Linked DNA regions of Daphnia pulex. The protein of the gene in region 1 binds, or shares a complex with, the protein of each later gene. Links are inferred from orthologs where the notes say so. Each region holds a gene or a part of one and is shown on either strand. Other genes may lie near its edges.

Region 1 (3,976 bases):
AATCTCTTATCTCTGCTCCCTGATTGGCAAAGTTACCCAGAACCCAGGCAGCATGTTCCACTACAACTGGATGAGGTGAATCTAACAAATGAATCATCCCAGCAACAGCCCCAGCGCTGACAAAAGCTTCGATCTCATCAGATATGTCTTCGCCTGAATAAGCAATGTAGCCGATTACCATCAGCGTGGGGTAAATTACGGTCTCTTCTTTGTGATAGAATAGCTCAACGAGCCGAGGGACGACTCCGGCGTTGATAACTTCTTTCTTTATTTCTTTCGGGCCATCAGTGAGATGAGAGAGAGCCATGCAAGCGGTGGCGAGAATCTCCTCGTCATTTGCGTGGATTAGGTGGTACAGGGCAGGAAGAAGCTGTCGGACGGCAAGGACACTCCCACCCAAATAGCGACACAAGTTGGACAAAGTCGAAGTGACGCTACGCAATAATGTAGCCTAATATTGAAATCGGTTAATAATAAATGTTCACCAAGGTTTCAAAAATAAACTTACTGAAGAGTTAGATTTGACCAAACTGAGCATCGCCTTTATAAATCCTTGCTCGATTAAGTAATCTCTTAACTTTGGTCCGTCTTTCGCAATAATGCCGAGCGCCCGGACAGCTTGCTCGGCCGTAACTGGATGAGGTGAACTCAACATTGACATGAAACCAGCAATAGCCCCAGCACTGACCACAGCTTGGACCTGAAAAGATCTGCATAGCACAATGGTGGTGAGAGTCCTGGCTGACTCTAACTGAAGTTCAGCGCTAAAACAAAAATGTCATGAAGAAATGTTTGAATAAGACCAATTTAAAGACACAACATACTTTTTGACACGACTAAGGAATTCTACTAGCTTGGGAACAACATTAGCATTGATGAGGATACGAATGAGTGCTGGATTGTGTTCCTCAGATAGGAATTTACGTATAGCATTGGTTGCTGTAATCTCCTTGTTTACATCACCACTGTTGATACCTACAGTATAAAGATTCATATGAGAATATATGTTACATAGAAAAAAAACTATACCATTAACTATGTCCTCAATGCTCTTCGCTGCAGCCATGCATTTTAGTACTTCAAGAGGGCTGAGGTCCTCATCGTAGACTTCAAGGATGTATTGGTTGTATCTATTATACAGCATGTGATCTTCCTTCTTGACTTCCTGCAAATTAACATTCATCTCATACATGAAAGATGAACAATTTGTTTAATTTAATAAATGACATTTGACTATCTAAAGCTTATTACCTCATATCCTCTGCAATTATGATTGATGTCCTTCAACAGGGTGGGATTTGCTTCAGTTGTCATTTTGATAGTTGATGTTTTGTCCAATTCTCTTGAATCACGGAAGTGACAAACACATGGGAACAGTTAAACCAACGACTGAGACAATGCTGCTGAGACTGAAAACATGAAAACTGAAAAGTTTTTTAAATACGCCATTTTTACATTTACTGATGTTGATGTTGCCAAATAAAAATATTCAGATGAAATTACAAAGACGTCATCTAGTGTGAGATCAATGAAGACTTGGATGTAGGTGCTAGGTGGCGTCGGTGATGTAAATTTTGACGCCTGTCTAGGTGATCTCTAAGCTTTTTTGCGTGTACTAACAAATTGGCAATTATCAAACAAATTGTAAACAACTAAGAAAAACAAATTATTTAATTATTATATTTTTTTAAAGAATAGGTAAGGGTAATATTTTAAATCATGTTTTTTGTTGTGAAGGTCTGTCACCGCGTCAGAGAGTCTGACTCTGAGCCCGAGTATTACCAGCTGTTTAACACGTCAGACTTGAAGCGCTTTCATTCGGTCTGTCAAAATGCTTGACCGAAGGTTCGTCGTAAAACTCTGCAGTTTTCTGCTCTTGGTAGGAATTTTTTTGACACTTCCACAGTTTTGCCATTCTCACTCTCACGACCATCACGGACATTCACATGATCATCATGGACACTCGCACGATCATGTAGAAGAGCGGCCTTCATTTAAGTATTCCAAGGAAGCGAATATTCCGAAACCTCCTCCACCCCCAGCCAAGAAAATAGAAAAGGAACATCACCATGGGCATTCGCACGAACATCACGGACACTCACATGATCATGATGAACACTTACATGATCATCATCATGACCATCACACAGAAAATGTTGAAGCTCCCAAAAGGACAACTGCTGCCTTATGGACAGAAGCCATTGGTTCCACTCTAATCATTAGTGTAGCACCGTTCATTGTGCTTTTTTTCATTCCCATTGACAGCAGCCCTGAACGACAGCCCTTGTTAAAAGTTTTACTTAGCTTTGCTTCCGGTGGACTTCTTGGTGATGCTTTCCTACATTTGATTCCGCATGCATTGATGGCTCATTCTGAAGATGAGGAACCTCATTCGCATTCTCATGGACATTCTCATGGAGAGGGTCATTCTCATGGGCACGACATGACTGTTGGACTTTGGGTTCTCTGCGGCATTATTGCCTTCCTTGCTGTTGAAAAGTTTGTTAGAATTCTTAAAGGTGGCCAAGGTCACAGCCACAGTCATGCTGAACCCAAGAAGGATAAAACAACTGATGCAAAAGATGCGAAAGACGGAAAAGCCAAAGAAAAGAAGGAAAAGAAAACCAAGGAGGTTGCCAAACCCTCTGGTAAATATTTAGTTTATTTTTTGGTAGTATGTCATTAAATCTGTTGTATTATTCCATTTCTTTAGGAGACATCAAGGTAGCTGGATATTTGAACCTGGCTGCGGATTTTACCCACAACTTCACTGATGGCTTGGCTATTGGTGCGTCATTTTTGGCTGGAAGAAGTACAGGAATCGTAACAACAGTCACAGTTTTGTTGCACGAAGTTCCCCACGAGATCGGGGATTTCGCCATTCTCATTCAGTCAGGCTGTGATCGCAAAAAAGTAATTTCAAACGCTCCGACAATCTCAAAGTAACAGGAATCTTAATTCTCCACTTTCTATTGGACAGGCTATCTTTTTGCAGCTTATTACAGCAGTGGGAGCTCTTACTGGATGTGCAGTTTCTTTATTAGCAGAAGGAATCGGTGCTGCTGCTACTGCCTGGATCCTTCCGTTCACAGCCGGTGGATTCATTTACATTGCCACCGTTTCTGTCATTCCTGAGCTTTTAGAAAACAGCAAATTCTCACAAACTTTAATGGAAATCGCTGCCTTGTTAGCTGGTGTCTATATGATGGTTTTGATAGCCGAATATGAATGAAAAATTGAGATACAAATTGTTTCTATCTAAATCCCATCTGGCAGGGCTAGACGATGGATTTTAACTTTCATTTCTACCACTTCGAACCCATTGTCTAGCCTGCATTATGCCTTGTAATTGTTTTGTCACCCGAGCAAGATACTTAATAAAGGTATAAAATAAATTTCACGATTCTATTATATTTTTTCTTATTTTTAATTTTTAAAATTTAGCTTTTTATTGAACTTTAACTGAGCAAACAACGCTGGGAGGGTAAGATGAGCCTATAAGTCTACTTGGTTACTATTCAATCAAAGGTGGTTTATTCATTGAAATTGCGTTATCAGTGAAAGGCGACAACTGTAAATAAAAACCATATAGGAAATAGAACAATGTTGGCTATTGTGTGTAGTTTGTGCGGTAACTGATACCAGATTGAGCAATTCCCTTTGACTGGGCGCCGAGACGAGTCTACAAAATTTTGACTTTCACTTATTCTCTTTATTATTTTGATGACTTATTCATCATACAAGTTAACTCATTCATTTCATTACTGAATAGAAAGATACAATCGCTAAAATGCAGAAAAATTGAATAATGCCCCCATTTATTTCGCTACGTAGTCATAGGGGCGGCGGCATATATTAGACGTAACCATGGCAACGAGTCAGCCCGACAATCGAAACAAACGAGCCAGCAGTCGGTGTATATTGTTGTGATGTAGAGAATTCTTAACGTTTTTTTCCAGTCAAGCACATCTTAATT
Region 2 (4,390 bases), on another chromosome or scaffold:
TTCTTCCATTTGTAGAGAAAAAAAAAAACAAAATTTCCTTTGGGGTTTTCATGACACTCTCTTTGGCCAAAGAGAAACAAAATAAGAAAAAAGATAGAGAAATAGGTAGGTATACAAGTTCTTTTAACGTACCCGTTAATGGATGTTTGGCTGACGAAAGGAGCGAGAAGCGTGCGGGCCACCAGGTGGAAAAGTTGAGTGAAGACGGCGTCCGAGCGCTCCTGGCAACGCTCCAAAAACACCTGCGTCTCGGCGTCGGCCCAGTCCAGCTGGAGGAACAACTCGGCGGCCTCCGGCTCCAACGCTTCCACGTTCACCTTATACCACTGCGAAAAAAAAAACAAAAAACAAAAAAAATAAAAATAAAAACAAGAAACAAAACAACAGTACGTCATTTATCTAATTCTTCTTTTCTCTCTTCGCCTTTTTCCATTCATTCCGGGGCAAAGGAAATCGAGTGAGGGCGATCACGGCCGACGGCGTCATAGTCGGAACAATCAAACTCTATATTATCAGTTCTTATTACGTGTCTGTGCGTGTGTGTGTGTGTGTGTTTTCCTCGTAATAGCCGATAACAAATCAGCGGCTTGATGGCTAGCGCCACCCGCACCATCGGCGGTCATCCGGCCAACTAACATTAAGGCCAATAACCTGCCGAAATAATATAACATGATGAAATAATGAAAAGAAGAAGAAAGAAGAAACCTAAACACACGCACACACACTGTGACACTGCAACGTTTTTGTGTTCGATTGTCAGTCCGCCCCGGCATTATGTAACACGTATGGAATTTTCTATTAGGCTGGCACCGAGGTGTCAATCTATTTGACAGCTAGACGCCCTCCTCCTTTTTCTTGTCCACTGACATTTGCACCGAGTTCAAAAAAAGATGTTGGAATTGAATCACACCAAAAGAGCGAGCCCTGTGAACAAGCCATGTGTCGCCCATTCACCGAGGAAATGTCAAAAACGTCAAAGAGTCCAAAATACTACTTTTTTTTTGTTCCACCCACTCTCGATTGGAGATTGTTTCACGGTAGTCTGCCAAGTCCCGTGAAACTGGGGAGGGAAAATATTATTAAGGTGAGTGATTGAAAAGAAGAGAAGAGGACGAAAACAATGCGTCTAAAAAATGAAATAACATCGTGAGAGGTTTCTAATGGTAAATAAAAGAAGAAAAAATAAACTGTTGCTTCGGTGTTTCGCTATTGTCGGGAGGCCGGAGATGGGGGGGAAGCCTGCGGACAACAGCAACAACGTTGCTCTGATTAAGAGAACAAACGCTACCTAATTACTGCCATTAAAGCCGGCAAGTTCGGGAGTGCCGGGCGACTGTGCACTCAAACAGGAAAGAAGAAGAAGAAGAACAAGTAAATGAAATGAAAAAAGAATAAGAACGTCGTCGCAAGGAGAAAGAAAGGAGGGAATAAGTAACGAGAAAGAAGGGAACAAACAATAAGTCTTGTGTGTGTGTGTGTGCCAGTGAAGAGAGAGAGAGAAGAACAAGTCTTTTCTTTCACGCCAAAGTGAAGCTAATTTACCATTCACGGCAGAATAAATTGAATGCGATGGGAACGAAAAGGGAGAAGAAAAAATAGACGAGATGGCCAAGGACGGAAAAAGAAACAAGGTCCCAGCTTCTTCTTCTTAACTTCCAATTTGAAACCTATAATTCCCTTGAATCCACCCTTTCCTTCGGTACCCGCACGACGGAAGTGTCTCTACAACGAACAAAAGGGGGAGGAGGGATTGAGCTTAGGGTGAGAGAGAAATTGTACGATTTTTAATTGGACTCGAGAGAAGAAATTCGGGAAGGAAAGACGAAGAAAAAAGGAAAAATAGCTTCGATAATAATGAGTTTGTAATTGCTAGGTTGGAAACATGATTAAAGCCGACCGCAAAACTACCCAGTGGGAAGAAGGTGGTGGTGGTGGAACGTCGACGTCGTGAGGTGGGGCGGCAGGGGCGGTGAAAGAAGCACTACGAAGGACGACGACTAAGACTAAGAGGAGTCGCCCTCATTTTCCCGATGTGGTTAACATCCCCGAGAGACCGCCATTCACGGCCATTGTGTTTGCCTAGGCTGTAAGACTAATTTATGATTCATTACTGATACCGCCCCATCACTAGACACAGCAACCAAGTGTTTCTCATCAATGTGAGGGCTGTGAATGACTCGTCACCTTGCAGATGTGGGAGTTACCTGAATGACGATGGGCTGGGATATAAGTGTGTGTGTGTGGGATTTACCTTGGTCCTGTCGAATTTCTTGAACTCTTCGTCCACCAGGATCTTGGAATAGACAGAACGGGTTAGAGCTGACCTGAAGTAAGGCCTGGATGTGGGTGTTGTTGCCGGAAGACACTCTTGGCAGCCAGCAGTATCACAGGAATCAACTGTTCTGGAATGGATCGAAACACTATCCATCCTGCCCGCTGAGCCAGGCATTGTGGCTGTTGCACTGAGGCACAGAAGCAGGCAGCAAAGAAACTGCGTGGTGGGCTTCAGTCGATAATTAACGAGTTCACATGCGTGCCACAACAAGCAGGGCATGGGAAACTTTCTCATCAAAACGGACGATCTAATTGATGCTTGATGTGGAAATATTAAGATGCCGTGCGACTACTTTTTCCGCTTGATTATAGTGTGACTTTCAATGCAACGAGAGTGGGCTGAGCCTAGACAGCATAAATAACAACAGCATATGCTTTTTAACGAAAGCATTCAAAAAATCTCGAGCTCTTGTCGTTCTTTTTCATAAAAATGTGGGCTGCAGCAGACGACGTCAACGTGATCGATGAAAAAGGTGAGGGCTAAACAGCAACTTGGCGGGCGGGCTCGATCGTGATTTATTCTCTGCACTCTGCAGAGAAAAGAAACGAAAATGCTTGCAACGAAATTGCGATGCATCAATTGAACCTCGCGATTTTTTCTCCTGCCATTTTCATTCATAAAAGAAAATGACATTTAATGCACGCGGGAATGATGCGAAACAACTGCCGGCAACAAAATCAGACACGACTCGCCAGCAGACACGCGAAACTAAAGAGACATTCTCCGAATAGTCTTGTGATCCCAAGCGGATCTTCAATATGTTTAACGTCCTGTTGTACCACAAACAAAATGCTGAACCATAAATAACCTCGAGTATAGTATAGTGAGGAGGATACAACACCGTACGATGAGAACAAAAACAAAGTAGACTGTCTACTGCCATTTTTGAATTCCGGTGCATACATAATACATGTGGCCAACGAAAAACGGGGGGGGAAAGATTTTTTTTTTCTCTTCCATGCACATCCGACGTATGCATAGTATATATGTATTACGCACACAAAAATATAAGCCCCTATAAGGTCTAACATTTCCTTCATATATATACCTGTGACCACAAAATCTATTGTGCATCGTTATGACAAGAAGAGGGGAAAGATTTCTTAGCCTTTTTATTATTATTATTATTTTCTACTGTATGTGAGAGTGTAGCAACCCCCATCAGGATTTTGGTGAATGATGGGAGGGTAAGTTTTCTTTTTTTTTTTCTTCTAGAAAAATAGAAATCGGTCGTTTTTGTGAAGCTGCCCCGTTGCATCCCAGTGTCGTTTGTCACACCCTGGGCCACAGTGGAACATGAGAATAAAAACTTTTGGGGGCTAACAAAAAAGAAAAAAAAATGAAACAACTACAAAAATAAGAAGCTGTTGGAATTGGTAGATGGCACGTCCCTAAGCACACAGTCACATCTATACCTGCCAGCTACCCAACGTATTATGGGTCAAAGGTTTCCTGAACTGTGTCTAGCTTGGAGAACCCCCCACATTGGTATTATTCGTTATTTTCTTCCCCCCCCCCCGATCCTCTATACTACACTGGAAGAAAGAAAGAAAGAAAAAGAATAAAGGTGCAGTCGTGCAAGAAGACGGACGGACGATGAAGGAGCTAATGAACGCGACTCTCCATCCATCCGACCGTCTCTCTCTCCCCCCAATGGGTGGAATGCTGTTGGAAAAAGACAGACACACACACACACAGCACACACACAGAAAGACATTGTGAACGGGTTGCTGTTGGAATGAAGAATGGGTCAGGAGAGAAATGATAATAATAATAAAAAAGAAGAGAAAAGTAAAGAAAAGGCAACTCTCGTCGTCGTCGTCAGAAGAAGAAGAAGAAAGAAGAGGAAAAGAGCCCCATAAAAAGATCTGGTGAACCTTGTTAAACGTCAGCGTTTATTAATGACCGATTGGAATCAGCTGGGGGACGAGGTATATAAGGTATACGTACTCTACTGCGCCGAGGAATATATATATATCTATAAGAGAGAGAGAAAAAAAAGCCCCCAAAGGGAGTTGGGAATGGAGCGAAAGAGTGAGCTGGCTGGCACTGTGT

Evidence for each region.
Region 2: the proteins of protein catecholamines up-like (region 1) and protein-L-histidine N-pros-methyltransferase-like are in contact, whole or in part, in a crystal structure (PDB 8GZE), measured with the Homo sapiens proteins. The link is inferred for Daphnia pulex from reciprocal best matches to the Homo sapiens genes SLC39A7 and METTL9. Residues at the interface, in NP_001070984.1 of Homo sapiens: Gly65, His66, Thr67, His68, Glu69; in NP_057109.3 of Homo sapiens: Arg114, Thr115, Asn118, Arg123, Gly124, Met126, Met179, Asn210, Asp213, Arg214, Val241, His245, Tyr247, Glu249, Trp255, Tyr295, Leu296, Cys297, Glu298, Asp300, Tyr306, Val307, Leu308.

Annotation. Positions count from the first base shown.
Region 1 is NC_060017.1:7,407,732-7,411,707, reverse strand, and holds protein catecholamines up-like, read left to right. Parts: upstream 1-1,556; 5' UTR 1,557-1,644; intron 1,645-1,737; 5' UTR 1,738-1,831; coding exon 1,832-2,648; intron 2,649-2,713; coding exon 2,714-2,913; intron 2,914-2,980; coding exon 2,981-3,232; 3' UTR 3,233-3,411; downstream 3,412-3,976. Other genes in the region: importin subunit alpha-1-like, read right to left, coding at 1-451, 509-764, 825-975, 1,030-1,183, 1,252-1,314. UniProt on the Homo sapiens protein: Transports Zn(2+) from the endoplasmic reticulum (ER)/Golgi apparatus to the cytosol, playing an essential role in the regulation of cytosolic zinc levels.
Region 2 is NC_060019.1:9,214,922-9,219,311, forward strand, and holds the start of protein-L-histidine N-pros-methyltransferase-like, read right to left. Parts: upstream 2,810-4,390; 5' UTR 2,570-2,809; coding exon 2,252-2,569; intron 327-2,251; coding exon 133-326; intron 1-132. UniProt on the Homo sapiens protein: Protein-histidine N-methyltransferase that specifically catalyzes 1-methylhistidine (pros-methylhistidine) methylation of target proteins.